Linked DNA regions of Arabidopsis thaliana. The protein of the gene in region 1 interacts with the protein of each later gene in a biochemical or structural test. Each region holds a gene or a part of one and is shown on either strand. Other genes may lie near its edges. The genes, in order: VPS45 and SYP41.

Region 1 (13,475 bases):
GAAGAACGTATAGGATCGGAGGATCAGCTCCAAATAGACTCGTCTTCATTTTTTTAATCTCAGGTTCGTCTCCTTCCCAGAAATGCTTCAAGAAATTCATGTGTTTTGGAATCCGATGCCACCATGTGAATATCTCGTTAAGGTAACCTTGGTCTCCTCCGTTGTAAGACACAACTTCATTAATGTTATCCATTAGTAACTGGAATGTTGAATTAGATGGCTCAACCACCATTAGACCAGAGTTGAAGAGCGTAGCATTGTTTCCAGTTGCTGATATCTCAGGGAACTCGAAGAGGAAATCAATGTTTCTCAGGATAAGCATGTCTGCATCGATGAAGATGATCTTACTGTATTCAGTCAGTTGCCAAAGACGAAACTTGCTGTAGTTCCATTCGTTGTAGGCATTTGGTACAGCATTCGGGTTCCTGATTCTTTGAAACATTTGAATCTTCCATCCAGCAGCTACCAAGCCACTTTTATGGTATTCGCTTATCGTTTCATCAACAAGTATGACCAGATCACGAGTAGAGCCTGACATTCGAATGCTCTGTGCAGCTGCAATGGCTCCACAGACATAAAATTGGGCAGAATGCAAGATAGTCGCGTAAGCTTCTTTCTTTGCACCTGCGGAGTAGAAATTATCTGCAGTTGAAATAAACATAATCAGCTTAGGAGGGGAGAACTAGCTGAGACTGAAAACGAAGAAACTTGCTACTAACCTTTAGCTTGAAGAGGAACAGAAAGTTCACAGGAACCAACAGGAAGCTGTAACTTTTGTCTTAGCTGGTGAAGATTAGGCTTATACAGCCATATGTTTCCTTGACGGGCAACAAGTTCTTGACCCGTAAAAAGATTCGGTATTGGAAAGCAATCAGATACCAAAATCACATGAACATTATGAAGTCCTTTAGAAGAAGCCGCCACTCGAGCTGCTGCAAGTTGTAAATGCAAGCGAGCCACATCTCTAGACCATTTTCCTGATTTATCACACGGAAGCTTGGCAATTACAAGATCAATCCGAGGCTTGCCAGGAATTTGAATCAAAGGCAGAGAAGGACAAGTAGGGACTTCGAATTCTTCAACTTCATCAATCCATTCCGGGTATAAAGATTCCCATGTTATGTTCTTTGCAGCATAATCTAGATGCAAAGCTACATGATCACAGTCAGATTTCGTTACCTCCTTGAATCGATCAATCTCGTTATCGTTAAGATTTATAAGACCAATTCCTTGATACTCGCTTCTACCAAATACGTGCTTCTCAACAAGATTTGACATATGGTTCCAGTTGATCTCAGCTGTAGCTACATAGCGAGGATCAGTAGTAAGACCAAAACTAGTTGGAATTTCAGGAATTTGTAGCGGTGGATAACGAAAACGGTAGATCGTGAACAAAGCTCCAAGCATTATACAAATCAACACAAGTTTCAGAGTGTTGAACTTGACACCCTTCTCAATTCTTTGAAATCTCCTCCTACTTGTCTTCTCACTACACACAACAAAACAAACGAATGAGTCATTATCTATGTCAATCCAACAGATAGATAAACATAGATCGCTTGTGAAACACATTTCTGAATCAAAAACAAAATCGAAGATCTGATTTCCAGAAAAGTCAACCATGTGTGTGAAGCTACTAAGTTAACTAAGAATAGTACGTAGTGTTCATGAAACTAGAGAAACTAATGAAGAATAAGAAGAAGAAGACGAAGACTAACTTTGAGAACGAGAGTCGATGTCTTGACTCCATGGGACTTGAGGAAGGTATCATCGTCTCCGTAAGACCAGGGTCGGTTTCGAGAATTTCATAATCGCCTGGTAAACAACAAAAGACGAGACATTTTAGGGATTTGGGAAGGAGAAATTAATTTGATTTTGGACCAAGGCACAAAACGGTGCGTATTAGGAAAATGAGATTTTTAGAAGTCCGTGTTTTGCAAAACGAACCTTTACTTATCAGGTATTTGTTATTTTAACCCCTACTCTAATGTTTGAATAAATTTTAACCAGAAAACGAAAATCACACACAGTAGTACGGTTTTACGCGGTGGAGGAAGAATCAGCAGCGACGGTGGAGTTGGTCTGAGTCTCACCCCAATGCCAAAGCATACTCTCCCAGAAACAGAAATCTTCAAAACAAGTCGTAAGTCTCTTATCTTTGATCTTAATCCTCCAATGTCCGTCTCTGTAATTCGCTTTCTCAGCTTGTCTCCGATCCCACTCAAGTTGCGCCTTTTGTTTCGAACTCAGTAGACAAAACCTCTGCAATTTCTTAGGCATCGCGTCGTGCACTCTCCACCAAGTTTTGTGTGCTTCATCGCTCGCGAATTGATGGTATCCAACGACATTCCAATTGCAATCGTAGTCTCTGAAGCATACCCATGGTTTGTTGTAACCTAGGTAATGAAGAACGTAGAGTATCGGAGGATCAGCTCCAAATAGTCTCGTCTTAGATTTCCTGTGCTTAGGTGTGTCTCCTTCCCAGAAATGCTTCAAGAAATTCATGTGTTTTGGAATCCGATGCCACCATGTGAATATCTCGTTAAGGTAACCTTGGTCTCCTCCATTGTAGGAATTGATATCGTTGATGTGATCCATTAGTAACTGGAATGTTGAATTTGATGGTTCAATCACCATTAGACCGGAGTTGAAGAGCGTACCGTCGTTTCCAGTTGTGGAGATTTCGGGGTACTCGAAGAGGAAATCCATGTTTCTGAGGATAAGCATGTCTGCATCAATGAAGATGATCTTGTTGTATTCTGTCAATTCCCAAAGACGGAATTTGCTGTAGTTCCATTGGTTATATGCATTTGCTTCAGCTTTCGGGTTTCTGATTCTTTGAAATGTGTGAATCTTCCATCCAGCTGATTCCAAGCCACTTCTATGGTATTCACTGATCGAATCATCGACTAGTATTACCAAATTGCGAGTAGAGCCTGACATTCGAATGCTCTGTGCTACTGCAATGGCTCCACAGACAAAAGCATCATCTGAGTGCAAGATCGTCGCGTACGCTTCTTTCTTGGCATTTGCCGAGTAGAAATTATCTGCAATTGAATCATAATCAGCTTAGGAGGAGAGAATAGAGATGTCAAATTTAGCTGATACAAAAGACGAAGAAACTTACTACTGAGTCACTGACCTTTAGCTTGAAGAGGAACAGAAAGTTCACAGGAACCAACAGGAAGTTGTAACTTTTGTCTTAACTGGTGAAGTTTAGGCTTATACAGCCATATGTTTCCTTGACGGGCAACAAGTTCTTGACCCGTAAAAAGATTCGGTATTGGAAAGCAATCTGATACCAAAATCACATGAACATCATGAAGCCCTTCAGAAGATGCCGCCACTCGAGCTGCTGCAAGTTGTAAGTGCAATCTAGCCACATCTCTTGACCATTTTCCTGACTTGTTACATGGGAGCTTGGCAATGATAAGATCGATTCGAGACTTGTCAGGAACTTGAATCCAAGGAAGAGAAGGACAAGTGGGGACTTTGAATTTTTCTTCCTCGTCAATCCATTCCGGGTATAAAGATTTCCAAGTTATGTTACTTGCAGCATGGTCTAGATGCAAAGCTATATGCTGACAGTGAGATTTTATGACCACCTGCCATCGATTAATCTCGTTATCGTTGAGATTTAGAAAGCCAATTCCTTGATACTCGCTTCTGCCAGATAAGTAATGCTCAACAACAAGTGACATACTGTTCCAGTTGATCTCAGATGTAGCTATATAGCGAGGATCTGTGGTTACAGCAGGTTCTAGTATCCATTTGTTTGCAAAACTTGATGGATCTTCAGGAATTTGCAACGGTGGAGAACAGTAGAGTGTGAACATAGCAACCAGCATCATAAGAAACAAAACAAGTTTCAGACTAGAGAAGTTGACACACATTTCAACATCGAGAGTGTATCCGTTTCTTTGGAATCTCTTCGTTTTTGTTTTCTCACTATATATGTAAAACAAATGCACTATGTCAAGCCAACAGATGAATACAGATCTCTGTAATGCACATACTCAACCACATTGCTCTCATGATCTATGATCCTATCTGATTCCCCTAAGTTAGGTAAAGTAGTTTCCATTGAACTCAAGAAACTGATGAAGTAGAAGAGAAAAAGACTTACCTGGAAATGTAAAGTCGATGACTTGACTGACTTGACGGCGCCATGGGACTTTCAGAAGAGAGCTTCATTCTCACTGTAAGAATATTAAGTTTGACTTTCCTGAGTGAGAGACTACATGAAGCTGGATGCATCGAGCATTACAATAATCACACGTTTTTGACGCTAATCCAAATTATATTATATTAGCGGACGGATCGGAACAAAATCAACACGATGGGTCAATGTTAAGTTTGAATTTTTTTGCGGAAAAATCCTGATCTATTAGATGTTTCCTTTGTAAAACCCTGATGTTTTATTACTTAATAAATAAACCCTCAAATTAGGTTCAGTTAATCAAAAATTAAGTTTGTGTTGAAAAGAGGAATAACCAATAAAATATAGGGTTTGTTTTGCAAAAACACTTTTCTTCGTATGAGTCGACGAGTCTGGGGACCTTTTAGTTTTCTCGATTAAGGAAAGGAAGATCTGAAAGTGAACGCGAAATCACTTCGCCAGCGTTATTGTTAACAAGAATCATCAGATTAGTCGCCGTAGATCTGAATCAACGTCGTAACAGTAGCAGAATTTTGCGGTGAAACGATGGTTTTGGTTACGTCTGTGCGTGATTACATTAACCGGATGCTTCAGGACATCTCCGGCATGAAGGTTCTCATACTCGACTCCGAAACGGTAAAGTCCGATCTCGTCTTCTTCGATTGCTAATCTTCTCTGATTTGTTTCTGGAATCGTGGTTCATAATTTCCCTTGTAACCGGAAACACATCTTCGTGATTACTTGTTTATTGGATTAATTGTTGAATTTGCAGGTTAGCAATGTAAGCATTGTGTATTCACAGTCAGAGCTGCTTCAGAAAGAAGTGTTTCTGGTGGAGATGATAGATTCAATATCTGTGTCAAAAGAATCGATGTCACATCTGAAAGCTGTTTATTTCATCCGTCCAACTTCAGATAATATTCAGAAATTACGATACCAGCTTGCGAATCCTAGATTTGGAGAATACCATTTATGTATGATTTTTTCATCTTCTAACTATTTCGAGTTTATCATTGTTCACTCACAATATACAAAATTTGATGTTGTTTTTGTTATGAATTCTTTCAGTTTTCTCCAATCTGTTGAAGGATACTCAGATTCATATTTTGGCTGATTCCGATGAGCAGGAAGTTGTACAGCAAGTTCAGGTGATTTTTAGACTTCCCTCATCCATGATGTTTTTGAATAGGAGGCTAATGCTAAAAGAATGTTTCATAGCCTATATGATGGATCAATATATGTATAGATTTTTAGCTGTCTCTGAGAAGTTGCTTGGTTTGTGATGAAACGGCCATACTTGTGGAGCTTAGTATCCCCCCTACCTGTCTTTAGTTTTCTGATTTAAACTTATATTGCTTGGTGCACTCGGCATAGTACTGTATAATGGCTTGTTTAACATAGTCTTTGTGGTTTTTTATATTGCAGGAGTATTATGCAGACTTTGTTTCTGGTGATCCATATCATTTCACATTGAATATGGCATCAAATCATCTATATATGATCCCCGCAGTTGTCGATCCCTCTGGTTTGCAACGCTTTTCCGATCGGGTTGTTGATGGAATTGCGGCAGTGTTTCTGGCGTTGAAACGAAGACCTGTCATCAGATATCAGAGGACCTCTGATACTGCAAAAAGGATTGCACACGAAACAGCTGTAAGTGAAGTTGTTTGACAAGCTCTCGTAAAGTTATTTGTTCCCGCTATATTTTGCATGCATGTGATGGAACTAATTCCCACTTGTGTCTATCCAATAGTCTGAAAATTCGCTGTTTATGTTTCAGAAATTGATGTATCAGCATGAAAGCGCTCTTTTTGACTTTAGACGGACTGAAAGCTCTCCGTTGCTACTTGTAATTGACAGAAGAGATGACCCGGTTACCCCATTGCTGAATCAGTGGACATATCAGGTAACTTGACTAAACAAAATTATTGTGCTACTCTATGATATAAGATGTGCCTCCCGCTGTCTTGCTTTTTTGTAAGACTACGACTTACTAATTAACGAGATTTTCTGTAGGCAATGGTGCACGAACTCATAGGACTTCAAGATAATAAAGTGGACTTGAAATCCATTGGAAGTCTTCCAAAAGATCAGCAAGTGGTTAGTTTTCTCCAATGCCATTGTTTTTTAGTTGAGAACCTTACAGCTAATATGTCTCTTATCCTGGCAGGAGGTGGTTTTATCATCAGAACAAGATGCATTTTTCAAATCTAACATGTATGAAAATTTTGGGGATATTGGAATGAACATCAAGCGAATGGTAGATGACTTTCAGCAGGTGGCCAAGAGTAACCAAAATATCCAGACAGTAGGTACAAATATGGCTAGTCTTAAACTATTCTCTGCAAAAACTTTTGTAACAACAGATTCTCGTGCTAGTGACAATTATATATCTGTGAATTCGTTGGTTGTACAGAGGATATGGCCAGATTTGTTGACAACTACCCTGAGTACAAAAAGATGCAAGGCAACGTTTCAAAGCATGTAACTCTGGTTACTGAAATGAGCAAGCTAGTTGAAGCAAGGAAACTGATGACGGTTTCACAAACAGAGCAGGACTTGGCTTGCAATGGTGGCCAAGGAGCTGCATATGAGGTAGTGAATATCTGTGGTGAACATTCACTTGTAGTCGCATATATTAAAAAATAGCTACAACCTGCAGAAGTTCTTACTGAATAATTTGGCATTCAATAATTTGGAGTCTCATGCGAATGTAATCCAGTGAACCTGCAGAAGTTAGCGAAATATGCAAAATTGTGCAGACTCTGCTGTAAGCACGGAGCTCTGACTCTCTATTCATGCTTATTTGCAGGCAGTTACGGATCTCTTAAATAATGAAAGTGTGTCTGACATCGACCGGCTGCGTTTGGTAATGCTATATGCTTTGCGCTATGAGAAAGAAAATCCTGTTCAGTTGATGCAATTGTTCAACAAATTGGCTTCACGGTCTCCCAAGTACAAACCAGGGGTACAGTCAGACTATCATCTGTTTCCTTTCAGTTTAAATTGCATCTCTTTCTTGTGGCTTTATTATTCTGCATCTCTTTTAAGGTTGATTTTGATCTGTCCCTCTGCTACTACTATACTTGTTAACCTATCTGCAATTCCGTCCATAGTAGTTTTACCTTTTCGTTTTTATTTTTGAATAACTTGATAAAAGTACCCTCAAATCATGTTATAACTTTCTGGTTGCCATGCAACTGCAGCTAGTTCAATTTCTCTTGAAACAAGCCGGTGTGGAGAAGCGCACTGGTGATCTATTTGGAAACAGAGATCTTTTGAATATAGCACGTAACATGGCTCGTGGACTTAAGGTCTGTATCTGAGTTAACTCGTCTCCAGCAACATTCTATATCTCCCTATATATATGTCATGTTACTGACATCTTGAAAAATACAGGGTGTTGAGAATGTCTACACTCAACATCAGCCTCTTCTGTTTCAAACAATGGAGAGCATAACTAGAGGGAGATTACGAGATGTGGATTACCCATTTGTTGGAGATCATTTTCAACAGGGACGGTATGTGCCTCTAATTTTTTCAATTTCTTAAAACAGGTAACTTGTTTGATAGTTACAGATTTCTGCAATTCGTGAAAACTTACATAACTAATCAAAAACTGCAAAATTTCTGGATAAACAGGCCACAAGAGGTGGTTATTTTTATGGTTGGTGGAACAACATACGAGGAATCACGCTCTGTTGCTCTACAGAATGCCACCAACTCCGGGGTTCGGTTTATTCTCGGCGGCACCGCAGTGCTTAATTCCAAGAGGTAATGCTGAGGTTAAGACAGTGTGTGCAAATGAGCCTCGATTGGTTTTGAGTTCTAGGTCGAAACAGCACTGATCAACTAAAATATCAACATTGGTTAAGTCATAGAAGGCCCAAACCGAAATTGCTGTTTGAATTAAATAATAACTAGGAATCTAAATTGGTCTACAAAGTTCATGAAAGTGTATTATAAGAGAAATGTAAGCTGAAAAGTGAATTTGGTTGTGACAGATTTCTAAAGGACTTGGAAGAAGCACAAAGGATATCAAGATCAGGTAGCCATATGGTGTGAAGAAGATCCAAAAGAATTTTGTGTAAATTATTTTTTAAGTCTTAAGATTCTTCCGGGGAGCACATAGAAGAAAGAGACAAATGAAAGAAGAAGATTGTGGTCAGGTTCGTCGAATCTTTCGTATACATGATGATGATTACCCCACCAGAGATTTAATTTTTGGGGTTTGTGTGTGTATTCATCGTGGTACAGTTTAATTGGACCGTTCTTCTTACACAATTATGGCTAATCAAGAAAATGTAACCTGAGGAAATTTTACTCCTCTATCATAATTGCACAAAACAGAATTAATAATCTTTTTCAAAATTATAATAACACTTTAGACAAAAACCAGAGAGATTTCATAACAAAAAATCTTTATTACTCTTAAAAAACAAAATCATATGTGGAATTTTTGAAATATTACTAGTTTACTACTCCCTTTTATAATAATGAATAAAATCACTTTTATAATAGTAAATTAGTAATGAGTAAAATCTGACTGACGTCAATCAAAAGTAAGTACCGATTTGGGAAAGAGAACAATCAAAGAGAAAACATAAAAACAGAGCTCTTTTGAGTATATATGGAGTATCTTATGTAGCTCGGCTACTGTCGCCGTTGGATTTCTCAAATGTCGTAATATGATGTGAGAGCGAAGCTGACACAACTCTCTGTCTCTGCTCTGGAAGCATTTTTACTTGTTGTTCTTTCACACATACACACTTCACAGAAACCCTCCATTACAACATAATAGTATATATTTACTATACATTCCAAAAAAATCATTAGGTTTACTTTTACATCCAAATTTCATACTTTTAACAAAGCGATTATGTGCAATTTAATCCTCTATCAAGTTGGATTTTGAGGGGTTAAAATTGTTTGAAGTCAACTAGCAAAAGTCTCATTCTTGAGAAATATTCGTCTTGCGGTAATTTTTGCTATAGTTTTATTAAAACGTCAAATCAGTAATAAAAACAATTAAAGAATTGAGGAGCTCGAGAAAAGTTCTTCACATACATCTCTTTCTTTCTGCTTAGCTCTTAAGCAGTCTCTGACTGTCCATTTCATATCAAATTTTAAAACTATTGACTATACTAGATCCTTCTCTGTTTCTTCGATCCCTTCATCTAAATTGTCTCCTCTCTTTATTTATTATTTATTCAATTCGATTACGTATATAATTTTTAAGTTAACTAGATAATGCATAATTTCTTAGTTAATTAGTTATCTGACTTTTTGAATTTTGATTACTGTGTGCTTAGCCGAAGTTTCTAGCAAACTACCACGGATTTAAATTCGAAAGAATAAAGCGTGACGAAATAGATAAGACAAAAAAGAAGAAGGAGAGATTACTTATCAAAGTACATATGGTTGAAAGTGATGGTTTGGTTATTAATTAATTACAGTTTTAACTTTAGATATTTTGTCTGTGGTCTTATATATACACCTCATCGTTCTTATCATATGATTCTGATTTTAGATATTCGTAAGAAAATTACCAATTGGTTACATTTTCAACAACGAATGCAAATATGCAATTCATGCTAAATTGGAAAATTTGTCATCCCAACTTTCATGAAAAGTCAGTGCTGGAGGGTTTTAGAGGTTGAGCATTTAAATCAAATTCTTTTGATTTCTGAAAGAAAAATTTACTACAAAAAAAAAGGAAGTTTAACTTTTTAAGAAAATATTGAATGTTTTTCACTGATCTAATTATAGTGAATCTAATATATCACTTTTACTTTTCATGAATTATGTTAATTTGTAATTTTGTATATTCAGTAACATTCATGTTACTTATAAAAAAGGTTCATTATACACTATTATATTATATTCAAATCAGTTTTTTGTAACGTTATAACCGTTTTTTTTTTAAACACTCTTTTTTTGTCGCTAAAAAAACACTCTACATAAGAGTCTCTAGTACTAAAATTTCGATTATTCGACTATTAAATTCTGTCGTTTTAGTTTTCAACTCACATGTTAATTAAACTCTCTATGTTGTTCTTTTAGAAAATGTTGTTCTACAATTCATCTAAATCTTTAGGACTACAATACATGTCAACCTTAAACCAAAATATAACCATGGTCCATATATAGGAGATAAACATTCAAAATGAATAAAAATGTATTTATCTAATTCAGCATCTTCAAAGAAGTAGTCTTCGTATCAAATGTATTATCCACCATAATCAAATAGTATAATCTTAAACCAAAAGAGCTTTAGTTTACCGTCTCACTTAAATGGAAATTTGCATCACGACAAAAATACATATTATAGAGTAATCCATCGGCTATTGATACAAGTAGAAGATGCAATATAGATAGCATCAGAAAAAAACCTGACACAACAAGCCCAACATTTTTTTTAAGCAATTCAAAAATTTCAAGAACACCCCCAAAAAGGAATAATCATACGAAAAAAACAACTCCGATGTTTTTAAGTTTTAAGTTTTAAAAACTGATAAGCAAAGAAAAAGAAAACGCTGCGCATCCCTCTCAGCATCCCTCTCAGAAAATAGGAAAACAACACTTAGTTTTCGGACCACTACCACTTACTGTCCAAGTCCTAGCTTCACCTCTTCCTTCACTACCATCATCAAACACAGACCAAGACCAAGAACCTTTCTTACAACCGGAGACTCTTCGACGATTCTCTGGTAGCCACTTGGACTGCATGTATCTCGTAGTCCTCCATGGAGGCCTAGACATTCCTTCTTTCTTCATGGACTTTTTCATCTCACCACAAACCAACGAAACAACTCTTCTCAGTCTCCCTTCTGTCGCCACAAACACTAATGGAAGCATCTCAGTCATATCTTTGTAAGCTTCTGTCTGTCTCGCTAGCTCAAACTGAGTTTTGAAGTCAAGATCAATTATCACACGTTTCAGCTTGCTTACGCCATCACGGTTGCTATCACCCTTCACCATGACGTCAATGTACTCATACTTCCTCGAGCACCTAAACACTCTACACCCTGTAACAACATTTTCACAAACAAAACCCACAAATAAATATCTTATCATCACAAAACCCACAAATAAATAACTTATCAAAAACCCACAAATAAATAACTTATCATAAAAAAACCCAAAAAAGTAAAGAAATAGAGACTTTCCCATTGTTATCTAATAGTCAAGGAAAAGGTCAAAGGTTGTTTTTATATGGATCTTTCTAGATATTCATATATATTATCTTTCTTTGAAAGTGTGTTGTTTACCTTCACGATGATCAAAAGAAGAGTCCCATGAGGTTTTGGAGAGAGAAGCATCATAGCCTTCAGATCTGAGTTTAGAGACAATCTTGTTCATCACATCTCTCTTCTCATCGTCTCCTTCATATGATAACCTTCCTCCATTGATAAACGACCATATCTTCTCTTCCATCTCCTTCTCTTTTTCTCCTTTTGCCCTAAGAATCTCCTGTAAAAATATTTCTAGCTAGGTTTAACCTTTTTATCCAGAAAAAAAAAGAGAAAATGTATTTGGTGAAAAGAGATATGTAGAGACCTTAAGAGTGATAAGAGCCGTTGTAGAACTCTCAATATGCTGGGAGACGGTGATCGGAGACTCGATATAATCGAGCACAAGCTTCTCTAAATCTTCTTCTCCCAAGCTTCCCATCTCAAAATGTTCTTTCACCTGTGTCTCTTCCTATTCTTCTAGGTTTTTTTTTTTTTGAGAAAAAGGTTGTGAGGGCAAAAGTTATTATGCAGTTGAGTCTCTTTATGAATATAACTGAGTGACGTGTGTCATAATCTTATCCATTGTCATTTGCATTATTAAATGAACTGTTTTATTATTCGTTTTCTAATGTTTTGTTGTATTAGCTTATATGTTTTAGATAACATGAGTTTGCGTCGTGACTTTTCTTTCTTTTTTGCCCTTTTCTTCGAAATACAAACTACTTTGCGTTTGATGTCATACGCGACTGTATAAAAAGTCGTTTCATGTCATTTTCCACTTGTCGTATATTCCACATAGTCGATGCTTGAGATTATAATTATGTATACGTGGATATTTTAGATTAAACTCAATTCGTAAGTCTTGATTTTTATTTAATATTTTTTGATATTTTAATTTGTTTTAGAATGTTATATCTAATAAAGTGGTAATTTCACTATGTCTAATCACACAAAAAATAGTACTAGTTTTTTTTTTTTTTAAATGAAATATTAATTGATCAGGAGTCTATATAGAAGATATATTCATATTATTCAAAGAAATTAAAATTAATATTATTTTTCGTTGATTTGGACCGATCCCTCAGTCTTTGGTAAAATCACAATGTCAACACTCAACAGAAAACCAAAATGCAAAACCCTCACGAGACTAATGTTTCTTCAATACTTTATCTGTGTCTATTGAATTATCGATCAAAGTAGATAGATATGCACGTCATAGCATATACTATAATGTTGATCGAAATGGGCTCACCATCGATCCAAACTCACTGTCACATATTTGGAAGCAAGGTTATCTCGTAATCAATTTTGTCTGTTCATTGATGGCTAAACCATCTTATATAACCTTTTAATAGATTTTGTCTTATACGACGATACCACACGCATATATATATACTTATCAAGATAAAATATTAGCATGACGATATTGAATCTCTAAGATAATTATAATAATAATCCGAGTGACGGTAGCTAATAATCCGATGATTTACAGCGTTTTGATTTGGATGCTCTCTAGTCACATGGAATTTAAAATTTTCGTATTGGGCTATAATAACTCGTTTAAACTTGCAATTGTTGGAATTAAGACGGGCTAAAAGCGTGTGGACCGTATCTTCTTTATTTGTATAATTTTTGCTTTGAAATTCGGTCCTACCTTCTTATTTTCCGAAATGAAATCAGTAAACCGGAAATTGAACACATTAAACCGGATTCCTGAAATTAGCGGAGTTAAATCGAGTTTTAAACCCCTCTGACATGATCATGATGTCGAAAATGACTAGAAAACTTTCCCAAATTCGTTATTTAGGTACTTAATTTACTAAAATTAAATGTTATACAGATCATCTAATAATTAGATTACTTTGTTTGCATTGTATGTTTGTTTTTGTAGATTTGGTTATATCTGCAGGTGCTGTTTCTCAATGAGTGAATAAAATAGAAGGATTAAGTATCTAATTAGAAAAATTATCCTGATGTTACATTGTTCGAACATGAAGAGAGACAAGTATCGAAAGCATATATTTTCAAATTGTCGTTGAAGCATAGCTATAGGCAGGAATCTTAGCAACCTTCTTCTTCTT
Region 2 (12,199 bases), on another chromosome or scaffold:
CCATTTATGTAATGGATCCTAAGAATATTTGTGTAGAGTAGTGTGTGATTTCAATAAAATATTTTCAATAAATTTTGATCATTAGGTACTGACTAATCGGATTATGAAACATGGACATTAAAACTATATAAATATTTTTGAATACATACTTTTATCATTTAGGAGAATTTCAAACTAACTTATGTGAAGTATATAAATTCTAATAAATTTATATACTTCGCATACGGGATTTATATATATTTTTTCATCAAATCAATCCACTGTTTCCAAACTATAAGTTTGTTTCGTAGTCACATTCGCATAATACCTGTTTTCCAATGTATGAATCTACTAGTCGATTTTTTCCCAATAACTTTTACTTCGTAACATATTGACATTAAATAATGATTCAATACAATTATTAGTGCATATGAAGAAGTTAAATTTATGTTGTTACATTTATATTATCCTTAATTAATGTTAATACTTGAAAAAAACATGATTACAAAATCCAATCTAAAACATTTATAATTCTATAGCTGAGAATTAACTCTCTGCATATCACAAACATTAGTATCCCCTATCCATCTATAAAATATAAGTACATGCATGATTTGTAGATTCCACAAATTTATCTCATTTTATATCATAAAATCTTTTTAATGATTTCATCCTATTTATTACTATACATAACTTATTATTGGGTGAAACTTTGATATAACAAAATTTTTGCAGTCATTTATAACTTTGGGCATGCATATTTCAGTAGTTTTTGAAAACTAGTATAAAAATATATTCAAACCCAAGCTTCGGATCCTAACCATAGGAAAGAAAAAATAGGCGCGTATTTTCGATCGACGTGGCTAATTATAAAATCAATGGTTTAGATTAAGGATTACATTAAAATAAATACTCGGGCCGAAATCAAATGGCCCACTAAAAAAGGCAGCCCAGAAACATGCTGGCTAAAGTGAGGATTAGGCACATAAAGTTTTCAGTTCATAAAAAGCACACATCAATTTCTGAACCTCCACTTTTTTCTTCTCTTCTTTCAACTTTTACACTAAAATTAGTTTTGCACTATTTAACTACATGTCATCTCCCCCATAAATAGACAAAAATATTGAATTATTTTCCATGATCTATAAATATGCTGTTATAAGATTTTAGCTAGTGGGGATAATAATATCTACATTGCATGTATTATTATCATATCTTTTAGAAGAAAAAAAATCAAGAATGTCTCTTTATTGACATTGAAAATACAGAAATCTAAGTACCAACTTTTAAAAATGAACATGACCCTTTTTGCCAAACACAGTGAACACACCAACCTGTAAAAGTATAGCTTTGCTTAGATAGATAGTTTCTTTTGATATATTTATGATTATGTGTGTGTGTATGTATACGTTTTAGTGGTCCAATTCAATGGATCTTAATAATAAATGGATTATTGCATCCGAAATGGGACCGTTTATTACTAATTTTGTAACAATTAAGACCCTTAAGTGCATAGTTTTAAGTTGAGGCAGTTATTAGCTCTTTTGGGGGAGAATTTAATCAAGTTAATTAAATTGCTAAGTGGAAGAAATCATTTCATTTGCTTCCTAATTAGTAGGAGACACAGACCAAACATCACTTTCACTAATGACATGTTTATCTCTGTTTAGATATCTAAGGGTGTTACTTAGTTACGATATACATAAATAGATAATAACAATGCTTAGCATAATTATTAAAGATTGGACACAAGACGACAAAAGAGGTTAAGATGATAATGATTTGATGTACTTGGAAAACACTTTTGATTTGTTTAGGGCTTTGGAAAGGGTCCTCAAGTGTCTACTTTATCTTTGGGAATGGAACATTAAGAATAGTAAACAAGGTCTACTGTCTCTCCCGACGTAAACACTTTGGCCTTGAATAGATTGTTGTGGTAACATAACAGCGAATGTTGTGATAGCAACTAAGTGTCTATCTAATTGACTATATAATTATTTATAGTTTTAGATCAATACTAGTAAGATTATAGTTCCTTGGATTGTAAATTTTGGTATTTCCAACACTTTAAAACGATTGCTGGATCTTTAAAAATCAATTGGATGACACAATGCTTGAAAGAAAATGGTCTATTAAGTTCTCAAGTTCGAGTGGAGCTTCCAAACAAAGTGCGCCTCAAGGTATCAAGTTCGAGTTTTGTTAGCGGAGAAAAGACTAATTAACATGTTATGGTCTCCAACCCAAAACTCGAAACATCTTGGTTACAAAAACAAAATGCACATACTAAAAAATAATATAGTTCTCACTATTAATATCCGGCTCAAAGAAGTGTTTGAGGCAATAGGCAAAATGTACACACTACTCTTTCATATTCTCTGAACAAATTCTTATATCAATCAATCAACAAATCTATACAACTCTCTTAATTCTCATATTTATGGATATGGGCTAGAAATATAAGGTTGCCTCTTCTTCTTCTTTTTTTGGCATAACGTTTTGGGGGATAATTTAGTATTAAGACTTCAATGCAAATACATTGCTTAAAGTTCTACTAGATGTTTTGTCTTCGTAGAGGTCAGGAGATCAACAAAGACAGAAAGAACAATAGTAGTCAATACGAAAATATATTGTGTTGTCACTCTTCCGATTCTGAATTTATTCTGTGGTCATCAATATTGAAGTAACAACAACTAAACAACTAACGCAGACATTGACTGGGCCTAGAACATCCGGCCCATGTGTACAACAAAAAAAACTCATGTAGTACGTTGTTGGAAACCAGGAGCTTAAAAAACGACGATGTGTTGACAAAAATAGTCCCACATCGCTTAGATCCAAAATAATGACAAGGGGACGCAGAGTATATATAGAGAAGCAGACGTTTCGAGCAAATTACTTACCTGGACGGGGTCTACTCGCGATCAACAAGACGAGTGGCCTAGGCTAGTGACCGCATTGCACATACCGTTGGGGTGCTATGCCTAAGGTCTTCCCTTGAGGAGGATCCTACGTCATTATTTGTGGCAGAAGGGGTTTGCGTTCGCGCAGCCCCTACCATTCAATTAGTCTCAATCTGTTATGCCTTAGGTTAGAAACCTGTTTTCAATATGGACAAAACAGAAATATCAGGAACTCAAGTGACGACGTGTACATTATATTGTTTGGTACACCAAAAAGTCCCACATCGGAAGCATATATTGGCTTCATAGGTTTTGCTTGGCTATAAATTAAGAGGCTCTCACTCTGTAGAAAGTCATCTTTGCGCTTGGGGCAATGACGCAGCTAATGAGGTCTTAACCGAGGCGCGTCTATTGCTGGTTGAAAACTATTTCCAAACCCCCTCCTAGGCCTAAGCTTGTCTTGGGCCTTCGAGAATTTCTGGAAGAGCTCCCTTCCGGGTAAAGCTCTACAATTCTTAGTTCAATTTTTATCCTTTAGGTTATGTCCTTGTCTAGTTGGTTGGTTTACACATTTTTAATTTGTCAAAACCGAAAATTAAAACTCTGCGATCTTTCTAACCCCAAATAGTTTCATCAAACTTTTGATACAAAACACCATAGTAAGACCAGAAAACTCAGTGCAAATATATGATCAAATACATACCTTTTTTTGGTTTCTTTTTGTAAGACCTACGGTGTACAGACAATTCGAGTGTTCATTAAAGCAAATATGTAGTTCATAAGTTAAAAATAATACTCATTATCATGTCTCTCTTTTACATTATTCTGCTTATTCCCAAACCCTTTCCCAAATCAATTGTTGCGTTTAACACAACAAAGCCGTTACATTTTCCAATCGCTGAATCATCTAACCGTAGACAAGTTACCGGAATATGTTTCTCCTTTATAAGCCGTCTTCAAGAATCATAGAGCTCAATATCCCTTGAACGAACTCGCTCTGTTTCAACTTTTCTCTGTGATCCTCTGCTGAAAGAGACTGCTTCTCAACATTCCTGTATAAGACAGATCAAGACAAGAACCATCATAACAAACTCTGCAATTTGCATTTCTACAACAACAACAAAAAAAACACTCAGATCACAAGAGCTTTTAGGTTATTGGTAAAACAAGGGATCAACTAAATTCCATTAAGGCTCATAAAAACTAAGGATGAGTAATATGCGATGACTTAACAAGAATGATCAAGAAATCAATGAGGATATCATCCAGAAGTGTAATCCAAATGAGAATGTGGAAGCATACCTTTCAGGCAAACTCTGATTCAATGTTTTCTTGGCAGAACTTGTGTCTGCACATAGACTTGACTCAGAAATGAAAAAGTCATCAGCCATTGGTGAAATGAATGAAGACAGTAAAGGATCAGCAGCTATACTGGCAGAAGAAGAGGATACAGCACGTGATGTTCCTTCAAATAGGCTCTGAAAATTTCCATCAGGAAACTCTCTCTTCAAGATCGATAGCATGGATTGAGCCCCGCCTCTTCTTGATTTCCTTTTCCGCGTCACGTAATATTTTGTTAAGGAATGTAACTGTTAGAGATAAAATCTTTATTATGATAGTAGAAAAGATAGAACAATAAAGCAACAAGAGTATAAACTCAATAGAATCCTCCAAAGCTCTCAATTGCTTGGTTAGGTTTCACAAACAAAACCTAACCCTTACTTCTAACAGAACATAAATAAAAGACTCTAGGAAAAGTAAATCCTAAACTATTTCCTAAATCATAAATCAGGAAGTATTCATATCATTAACACAACTCATTGGAAGAATCAGATAAGTACATGATCGTTAAAAATATAACTGGTAGAGAGAGCAAAAAGGATATCTTGAACATATTTGCATGTTGTAGGGTTATATGAGCAATCATATCAGAGCTCACTTTCACCGCACAAATGGGACATACCTACAAGATTAACAATGTCAAAACGCAGAATTGAAAACAAATCTTGCTATTGTAGCAATAAACAAGTGTCCTAGAGTTGATTTCTTCTCTGAGGAACACTGAGTGGCAATTCCAAATACTATTTCGACGCATTTCATTAGGTTACTTTCACTTTCTTTATATCCAAGACCAGTAACTACTAAACATAGAACAGTGCTCTTACCAAGAATGATATGATGAAACAATAAATAGATTTTGATTCAAAACGAGAGAAAGGTAACATTGAGGAAATATCTACCCCATTTTTTGCATCCATAGGATGATCTTCATCAATGTGACAGCATAGAGAGACGATATCAAAATAGTCTGAACAGAACGGGCAAGCATACTCCTCCCTGAAGTCATCTTCTCCTTCTATCTCCTCAAACCCCAAGAAATTGTCTGCGTTTTTCAAAAATGAAGAAACTAGTCAAACACGGCCAAGAGAACATTCGAAAATGTGACAACTACAAAACAAAAGCCTAGAAAATAAAATGACAACTACAAAACAAAAGCCTAGAAAATAAAATGGGAAATACTAAAAACGCGTTCCATTCTCGAAGTTCCAATACAAATGGGTTTCAGAAGAAACATCAAAGATATCTAAATAAACGAATGGAAACTAGTAGATCATAAAACCTTCCCTGGCAAAGACGTCTAAGTTTGAGATGAAACTAAAGCTTTTAAAAACGTTTTTACCAACAAGAAGTTTTGTATTTACTTGTAAGTCAAACAAGAATCATCAAGATTCCAGCTTTTGACATTAAGTTCATACCAAAACCTAGAAACAAAACACACACGCTTAATCAATCCCTAAAGCCTCACATTAGTAAAATGCCTCAAAAGACAGAATTTATTTCCTCCATTTTCCTTAAATTCAATATCAGCAAAACAAACATTTGAACAATCACCATTTCAAATATTCAGAACAAGACACAATCAATGTCTTGTCCCATTTTGTTCGGAAAACCAGAACAGTAACAAAAATGTCAATCTCTTACAGTCAATCTCGATCCTTGATCAATTCAAAAGAAAACAAATTTGAGGTCTAAATATCATTGATATTTTTGCAATAGAATCAAGATTAAATTTAAGACAAAACCAATCAAATCTCAAATTAAGAAAGAACAAATCCAAGTTATAATTTTTATCAAACTCACCAGATCGAGACAAGAAATCGAGCTGATATCTTCTTGAAGCCGATGCGAGACGATCACTCCAAGAATCAGAATCCATTTTTTCTACGAAGATTATTACAAATCGAAACCAAAGAATCCACTTTTTCAACAACAACAACAAAAAATCAAATAAATTCCAAGAATCCGAATTGATCTTGAGTCCGGATAAAACAAAAACAGAGATATTCCGATTCAAGAATCAAAAGATTCCGACGAAATGCAAAGACGAAGACGACGACGACGATTTTGCGTCTTTTTTTTCTGGAATTCGTCTTTTTATCTTCTTTTTTTATTATGGTTTTTAATTCTTTGGATATAGAGAGAGAGAGAGAGTGAAAGACATAGAAGAGATGAGTTCTATTACATGTATTAAATTGTTTTTTAACAGCCCGCACGAATGCATGCCGTTTAAACCTTTTACCCGCCGTGTTTTTCCCTTTTGGAATATCAAAACGTCATGCTGTTAGTACGACGCTTACGTGTCGAAATATTATTGGTTTGTATTTGGTAAGCTGGTGAAACAGGACAAAGTTAGCCGCGCAACTGTTTTTTAACTTTTTTTTTTACTGTTTCCAAAGTTTTAAGTTTTGGGGAAATAGTGAAAAGTGAAAACCTCAATTTGCAAATCTGAGAGTTTACTTTCCTCATCGGAAAAAGTTTTGATCTCGCCGCTCTCCGAGCACTTCCTTGTCGGAGTCCCAATTTTTGTGTTCGGTTTTATTCTCGGTCGATGATGAAGCCGCGATTGTGTTCAGATCGGAGCTGATTTCGAATTTGGATGTGAAATTGAGATTCTAGGGATTTCAAATTTTGACGATCATGGCGACGAGGAATCGTACGTTGCTGTTTAGGAAGTACAGAAACTCTCTGAGAAGCGTCAGAGCTCCATTGTCGTCATCTTCATTGACGGGAACACGATCCGGCGGCGTTGGTCCGGTGATCGAGATGGCGAGTACTTCGTTATTGAATCCGAATCGCTCTTACGCTCCTATTAGTACCGAAGATCCTGGAACTTCTAGGTACTCTTCTCTCTCTTTATCAGTGAAAATGGTGAACAATTTGATCAATTAGGGTTAACTGGAAATGATTAGCTTAGCAATGAGAATGATAATACATCATTGATAGTGTAGTTGAAGTAAATGTCTGTGAGCTACGTTAAGCTGAGAGTTAGTAGTTACTGAGATATTTTTGGTCATGTTTTAGTAAAGGTGCGATAACAGTGGGCTTACCACCAGCTTGGGTTGATGTCTCTGAGGAGATATCTGTGAATATACAGCGTGCAAGGACTAAAATGGCTGAGTTGGGAAAGGCTCATGCCAAGGCGTTAATGCCATCGTTTGGGGATGGTAAAGAAGATCAACATAATATTGAGTCTTTGACACAGGAGATAACTTTTCTATTGAAGAAGTCTGAGAAGCAACTTCAGAGGCTTTCTGCTTCAGGGCCTTCTGAAGATTCAAATGTTAGGAAAAATGTGCAGGTAGTTTTGACTTGATGGAAGCTGCTCTTAACACATTTCCTTTCTTTTTGCTGCATTTGCCATTGCTATCTAAGATTTATCATGTGTGTTTAATAACAGCGGTCTCTTGCCACTGACCTCCAACTTCTTTCTATGGAGCTTCGCAAAAAACAGTCAACATATTTGAAACGCTTGAGGCAGCAAAAAGAGGTATGAAACTATTATCTATTTTAGTGTAATTGGCATTTCTTATACCGGAAACTATGTGATGTTGCAGTGTCTCATTCTTTGAAGTTTTTGTTTGCTTTCTGCTCCTCCGCCTCAAATGAAACTTCTTTACATCGATTTCATAGATGATAGATTCTTTTAGTACTTGTTTTTTCAGAGTATATTATTCTGTCCTCTCAAGAAGCTTTGACTTGAAATGTATTATCATTTATCAGGATGGGATGGATTTAGAGATGAATCTGAGCAGAAACAGATATAGACCTGAAGAGGATGACTTTGGCGATATGGTTTGACTCCTATACCTGTTTCATTCTATCGATTTAAAGCAATCATTCGTCTTATGTCTTCTTTATTGATGGAATTTTTTCTCGATTCCTTTTTAGTTAAACGAGCATCAGATGTCAAAGATAAAAAAGAGTGAAGAAGTATCTGTAGAGAGGGAGAAAGAGATACAACAGGCAAGTGCTTGCACTACGTCTTTGTTCTTAGTTGTTTGTAGCTCACCAACGTTTTTTTTTTTCTTTTGCAATCAATCATAATCTTTTTTCTTCTTCGTTGTCTGTGTCATTGTCCAGGTTGTAGAATCAGTAAACGATCTTGCTCAAATTATGAAGGATCTTTCTGCACTTGTGATAGATCAGGTTAAACTTATTTAATCCCATATTCTCTTTGTCTAGCTTTTGAGTCTTCTTCCTTTCGAAAAACAAACTCAAAGCAACCCGTTTAATTGCAGGGTACAATAGTTGATCGGATAGACTATAATATCGAAAACGTCGCTACTACTGTTGAAGATGGTCTCAAACAACTACAGAAGGTAAAAATAGTGTTCTCTCTTCAACATTAATGTCCAACTATTTGTTTGTCCCAATTCTAAATGAAGTGGATCGCATAAAAAAACTTCACAGGCAGAGCGAACGCAGAGACATGGAGGTATGGTGAAGTGCGCATCCGTGCTTGTCATCCTCTGTTTCATCATGCTGCTACTCTTAATCCTCAAGGAAATATTCTTGTGATCGGATACTATAATCCCTGGTTAGATCAATAAGAAAAGTTCGATCCTTAACTATTTCATTCTTTAGCCCCGAACATCGCATGTTTTCCTTCAGGGCTTTTGGTTTCAACTTCTTTGCATTTAACAATACTAAGATCCTTTGCAGAGTAGTTAGTACGTAATATTATTGTGTAGAAGAAGACCATAGATAGTCAGAGGTCGATGTCTGAGGAGTTGAGAGATCTGTGCACCAACGCCAAAATACTCTCTTCACGCTAAAGTCAAGTGTTCTTTTAAAATGTATAAGATTCCAGTCATAGTTGTTGGAACTTGTTTTTGACAAAATGGTTTTGACCATTGTAACTTGTGGATTTTCCGGTGAAGACGTTCATTGGAGTGACCAGATTTCGGGCAAGATGGAATCGTAGCTGCGAGCACTACATGGTGGAGTATTCAAATGTGAAAACGAGTTTGTTTGAAATCTTTTACTTTCCGGTTATTGTATCTTCGCATAAATTACAAATTCTCAACATTCTAGTTCTTTTAAAAACATATATCATTTACAAATGTATAAATATTTTTCACTTGAAACAATGAAAACTTTATACACGTTTTTGTGATGAGTTAATATGAATTAAATTACATCTCAAGTTCTCAACTCTAGTTTGAAATTGGTCATGCCAAATAGCCTAATTGAACTTGTATTGTTATTGTGTCATTATCATGGTTCAAACCCATATTATAATCATACTGTTGACAAAAATTATAATTTTAATATTAAATTTGTGTTATTATTTTTGTAGATAATTAGCTGGAGGGTTTTTAAAAGAAAAATATAAAAAAAAAATTAAATAATGATTATATCAGCGCTTAAAAAAGATAGTATTATCCTGGATAGCACATTATTTTTTTTATCTGTTTCTAATGATTCTTTAAATTACCTTTAAATATAATAAATTACATATCTAAGAATTTTTTAAAATTTATGATAATATTTTATCTTTTTTAAATGTAGCATGTATATAATAAATTTAAAACTTATATTATATATAGTGCTTCAATAAAATCCTTGAACATGTATAACCAAAAAAAAACCTCAAACAACATGTGCATGGATGTTTACCAATTATCATTTAAAATATAGTTATCTTATTTACAATGGATGTTTACCAATTATTGGTTATATATTTATTTACAAAAATAAAATGAAAAAAAGTAGTTGATGGTTTTAGTCTTTTTTTCGCAATAGGGATAATTTTATTGTTTAAGTCAAATATTACATGGATTATGAAATACCCCAGAACAAAAAAGCTACAGAAACATATTAGGCCCAACTAAAGCCCAACAGAGAAACCGTCTATGGAAGAAGAAATATTATCTTTTGTCTCTATCCAAAGCCACGTGTCTTCTGCTGGAGAGAAACCAATACACGTACTGGATGAGAATCCAAAGTTTTCCCGACTTCATCCTTCGCCGTCAAACATCGACTCCGGTGAAGATTCAACGTCGATTAACAAATCAAACATGGAATCTTATGGGTTTTCACCGGTAAAAATAATCGAAGCCCTAATTAGAGAAACAACAGCTCAAGGTAATGTTAATATGCAACGGAAATCACTTTTTTTTCCAACTCAAATCTCTGATTTGTTTCCTGCAATTCTAAACTCAAAAAGAAAAACAGGTTAGATAATAAGTAACAAAAAGCGAAAACCGCTCTATCATTATCACCAACACATCTCAAATGAGATTTATTGAAAGCAAAGCTAATTTATGAAAAAACAAAAAGCAGCAAAAGAACGCTGACGGCATAGCCGACCATCATCACTGTGAAAGCTGAATGATACCGGACAAGAGCTGGCCAACACCGGAAAGAACTGGTAATTGCCAGACGATAATCCCTATCAGAGAAGACGGTAGCCGGAAAAAAATTCGGACGGCAAAGTGAGTTTGAGGTTTCTCTCTCTCTGAAAGAATTTAGAAAGAGAAGAGAGAGAAAAAACTTTGGTACTTAATTAATTATTTAAGTAATTAATTGATGATTTTAGTTTGTCTTGGAAACATACTTAAAACCAAAAAAATATGGAAATGGATTGTAATTTGTCTTGGAAACATACTTAAAACCACTCAAAAAACTAGATTTCCTGTTTTTTTTTGGAGAAATGTTTTTGAAAAACCACAATCATTTAAGGCCTTGTAGTTTTATTGCCAATGGAGTATGAGTTACTATCAAAAATTGAAAAACAAGTGAAATTCATATCCTTTTTAGTCTTAGCTGTATAATTTTCTGCATGGCCGGATCTAGTTAGTACCTAATATAAGTTAAACTATACAAAGTTATAGTTAAGATTACTTCATTAATTATATTAAAAGAGGATTAGTACTTTAGTAGATAACCCATAAACGAAAGCTAAGTAGTTGAATTTGCATGTGTACGTATATGGAGTATAAAGCAGTATGTACTATTTATTTATTTAGTGCATAGTCTTTTTACTTTCTTAAATCACACTTCCCTCTCAACTCCGTAACTCCCACAGATATAATAATTTATTTTATTTTCATATCTTAGAATTAAATTTGTTCTCTGAAGATAATTCTGATGTCAGAAAACTGCAATTCTCGCCATTTCTCATGGCTCATGAAATCTTGTTTACCAAATCCCTCCGACGCCAAATCACTAGTCCAGATCCACCAACCGTCGTCCACGGCGGCGAATTCTTCAGCTACAATCGCTTCTCTACCTGACGATTTACTCCTCGAATGTATCTCAAGAGTCCCTTCCTCTTCAATTCCTTCTCTCGCCGTCGTTTGTCGCCGTTGGTCTCGTCTCCTCCACTCTCCTTACTTTCTCCATCTCCGTCGTCGTTTAGGTTTGCTCCGACATTCTCTCTTCGCGATATCCACCGTCGATTCAGGACTTTTCGCCGCGGATTTGCAGTTTCAGTCCGAGATTGCGTCGTGGAAAGTGTCTCTTGCGGTTTCGAGTAGGTCTGTTGGCGTTGACGGTAGTTATGGAAGTTTATCTCATGCTCGCGCGGCGGCGATTGGACCTAGGGTTTATGTTGTTAGTAGAAATGCTGTTTTGAGATACGATTCGTGGATGGGAACGCTTAATTTGAGATCTCCGATGATTTTCCCTCGGAAGAAATTCGCAATCGCGGTTGTTTCTGGTAAGATCTACGTTGCTGGAGGTGGTGGTGGTTCGGAGGTTGCGGCGGCGGTGGAAGAGTATGATCCGGAGTTGAATCGGTGGGAAGTTGTGACTCAATCGGCGAGGAAGAGATACGGTTGCATCGGAGCAGCCGTTGACGGAGTTTTTTATGTGATCGGTGGATTGAAAATTGGGAATGAGACCTCACGCGCGGTGGCGGCGCGTGCTTATGCGAGCTCTATGGATCTTTTCGATGTGGAGTCGCGTCAGTGGTTAAGGAGTCGTTCGGTTCCTGGTGGTGGATGTGTAGTGGCGGCGTGTGCGGCGGTTGGATA

Evidence for each region.
Region 2: the proteins of VPS45 (region 1) and SYP41 form a complex in vitro, tested with the Arabidopsis thaliana proteins (one study listed by BioGRID).

The regions. Positions count from the first base shown.
Region 1 is NC_003070.9:28,979,458-28,992,932, forward strand, and holds VPS45 (vacuolar protein sorting 45), read left to right. Parts: upstream 1-4,476; 5' UTR 4,477-4,705; coding exon 4,706-4,795; intron 4,796-4,931; coding exon 4,932-5,133; intron 5,134-5,227; coding exon 5,228-5,307; intron 5,308-5,584; coding exon 5,585-5,812; intron 5,813-5,939; coding exon 5,940-6,065; intron 6,066-6,175; coding exon 6,176-6,259; intron 6,260-6,329; coding exon 6,330-6,471; intron 6,472-6,575; coding exon 6,576-6,754; intron 6,755-6,971; coding exon 6,972-7,127; intron 7,128-7,365; coding exon 7,366-7,473; intron 7,474-7,558; coding exon 7,559-7,680; intron 7,681-7,801; coding exon 7,802-7,933; intron 7,934-8,163; coding exon 8,164-8,224; 3' UTR 8,225-8,578; downstream 8,579-13,475. Other genes in the region: PGSIP2 (plant glycogenin-like starch initiation protein 2), read right to left, coding at 1-642, 720-1,489, 1,719-1,771; AT1G77145 (transmembrane protein, putative (DUF506)), read right to left, coding at 10,721-11,187, 11,431-11,632, 11,720-11,833; AT1G77150 (Pentatricopeptide repeat (PPR) superfamily protein), read right to left, coding at 13,419-13,475. UniProt on the Arabidopsis thaliana protein: Involved in the protein transport to the vacuole, probably at the level of vesicle fusion at the trans-Golgi network (TGN) and not in transport from the TGN to the prevacuolar compartment, by promoting the recycling of vacuolar sorting receptors back to the TGN.
Region 2 is NC_003076.8:9,485,263-9,497,461, reverse strand, and holds SYP41 (syntaxin of plants 41), read left to right. Parts: upstream 1-6,369; 5' UTR 6,370-6,857; coding exon 6,858-7,057; intron 7,058-7,241; coding exon 7,242-7,518; intron 7,519-7,617; coding exon 7,618-7,707; intron 7,708-7,940; coding exon 7,941-8,012; intron 8,013-8,108; coding exon 8,109-8,183; intron 8,184-8,300; coding exon 8,301-8,366; intron 8,367-8,458; coding exon 8,459-8,539; intron 8,540-8,630; coding exon 8,631-8,738; 3' UTR 8,739-9,329; downstream 9,330-12,199. Other genes in the region: AT5G26990 (Drought-responsive family protein), read right to left, coding at 3,823-3,931, 4,182-4,444, 4,765-4,842, 5,120-5,262, 6,021-6,096; AT5G26970 (uncharacterized protein), read left to right, coding at 10,076-10,402; AT5G26960 (Galactose oxidase/kelch repeat superfamily protein), read left to right, coding at 11,313-12,199. UniProt on the Arabidopsis thaliana protein: Contributes to the regulation of secretory and vacuolar transport pathways in the post-Golgi network, and to the maintenance of the Golgi apparatus and trans-Golgi network (TGN) morphologies. Together with VTI12, required for membrane fusion.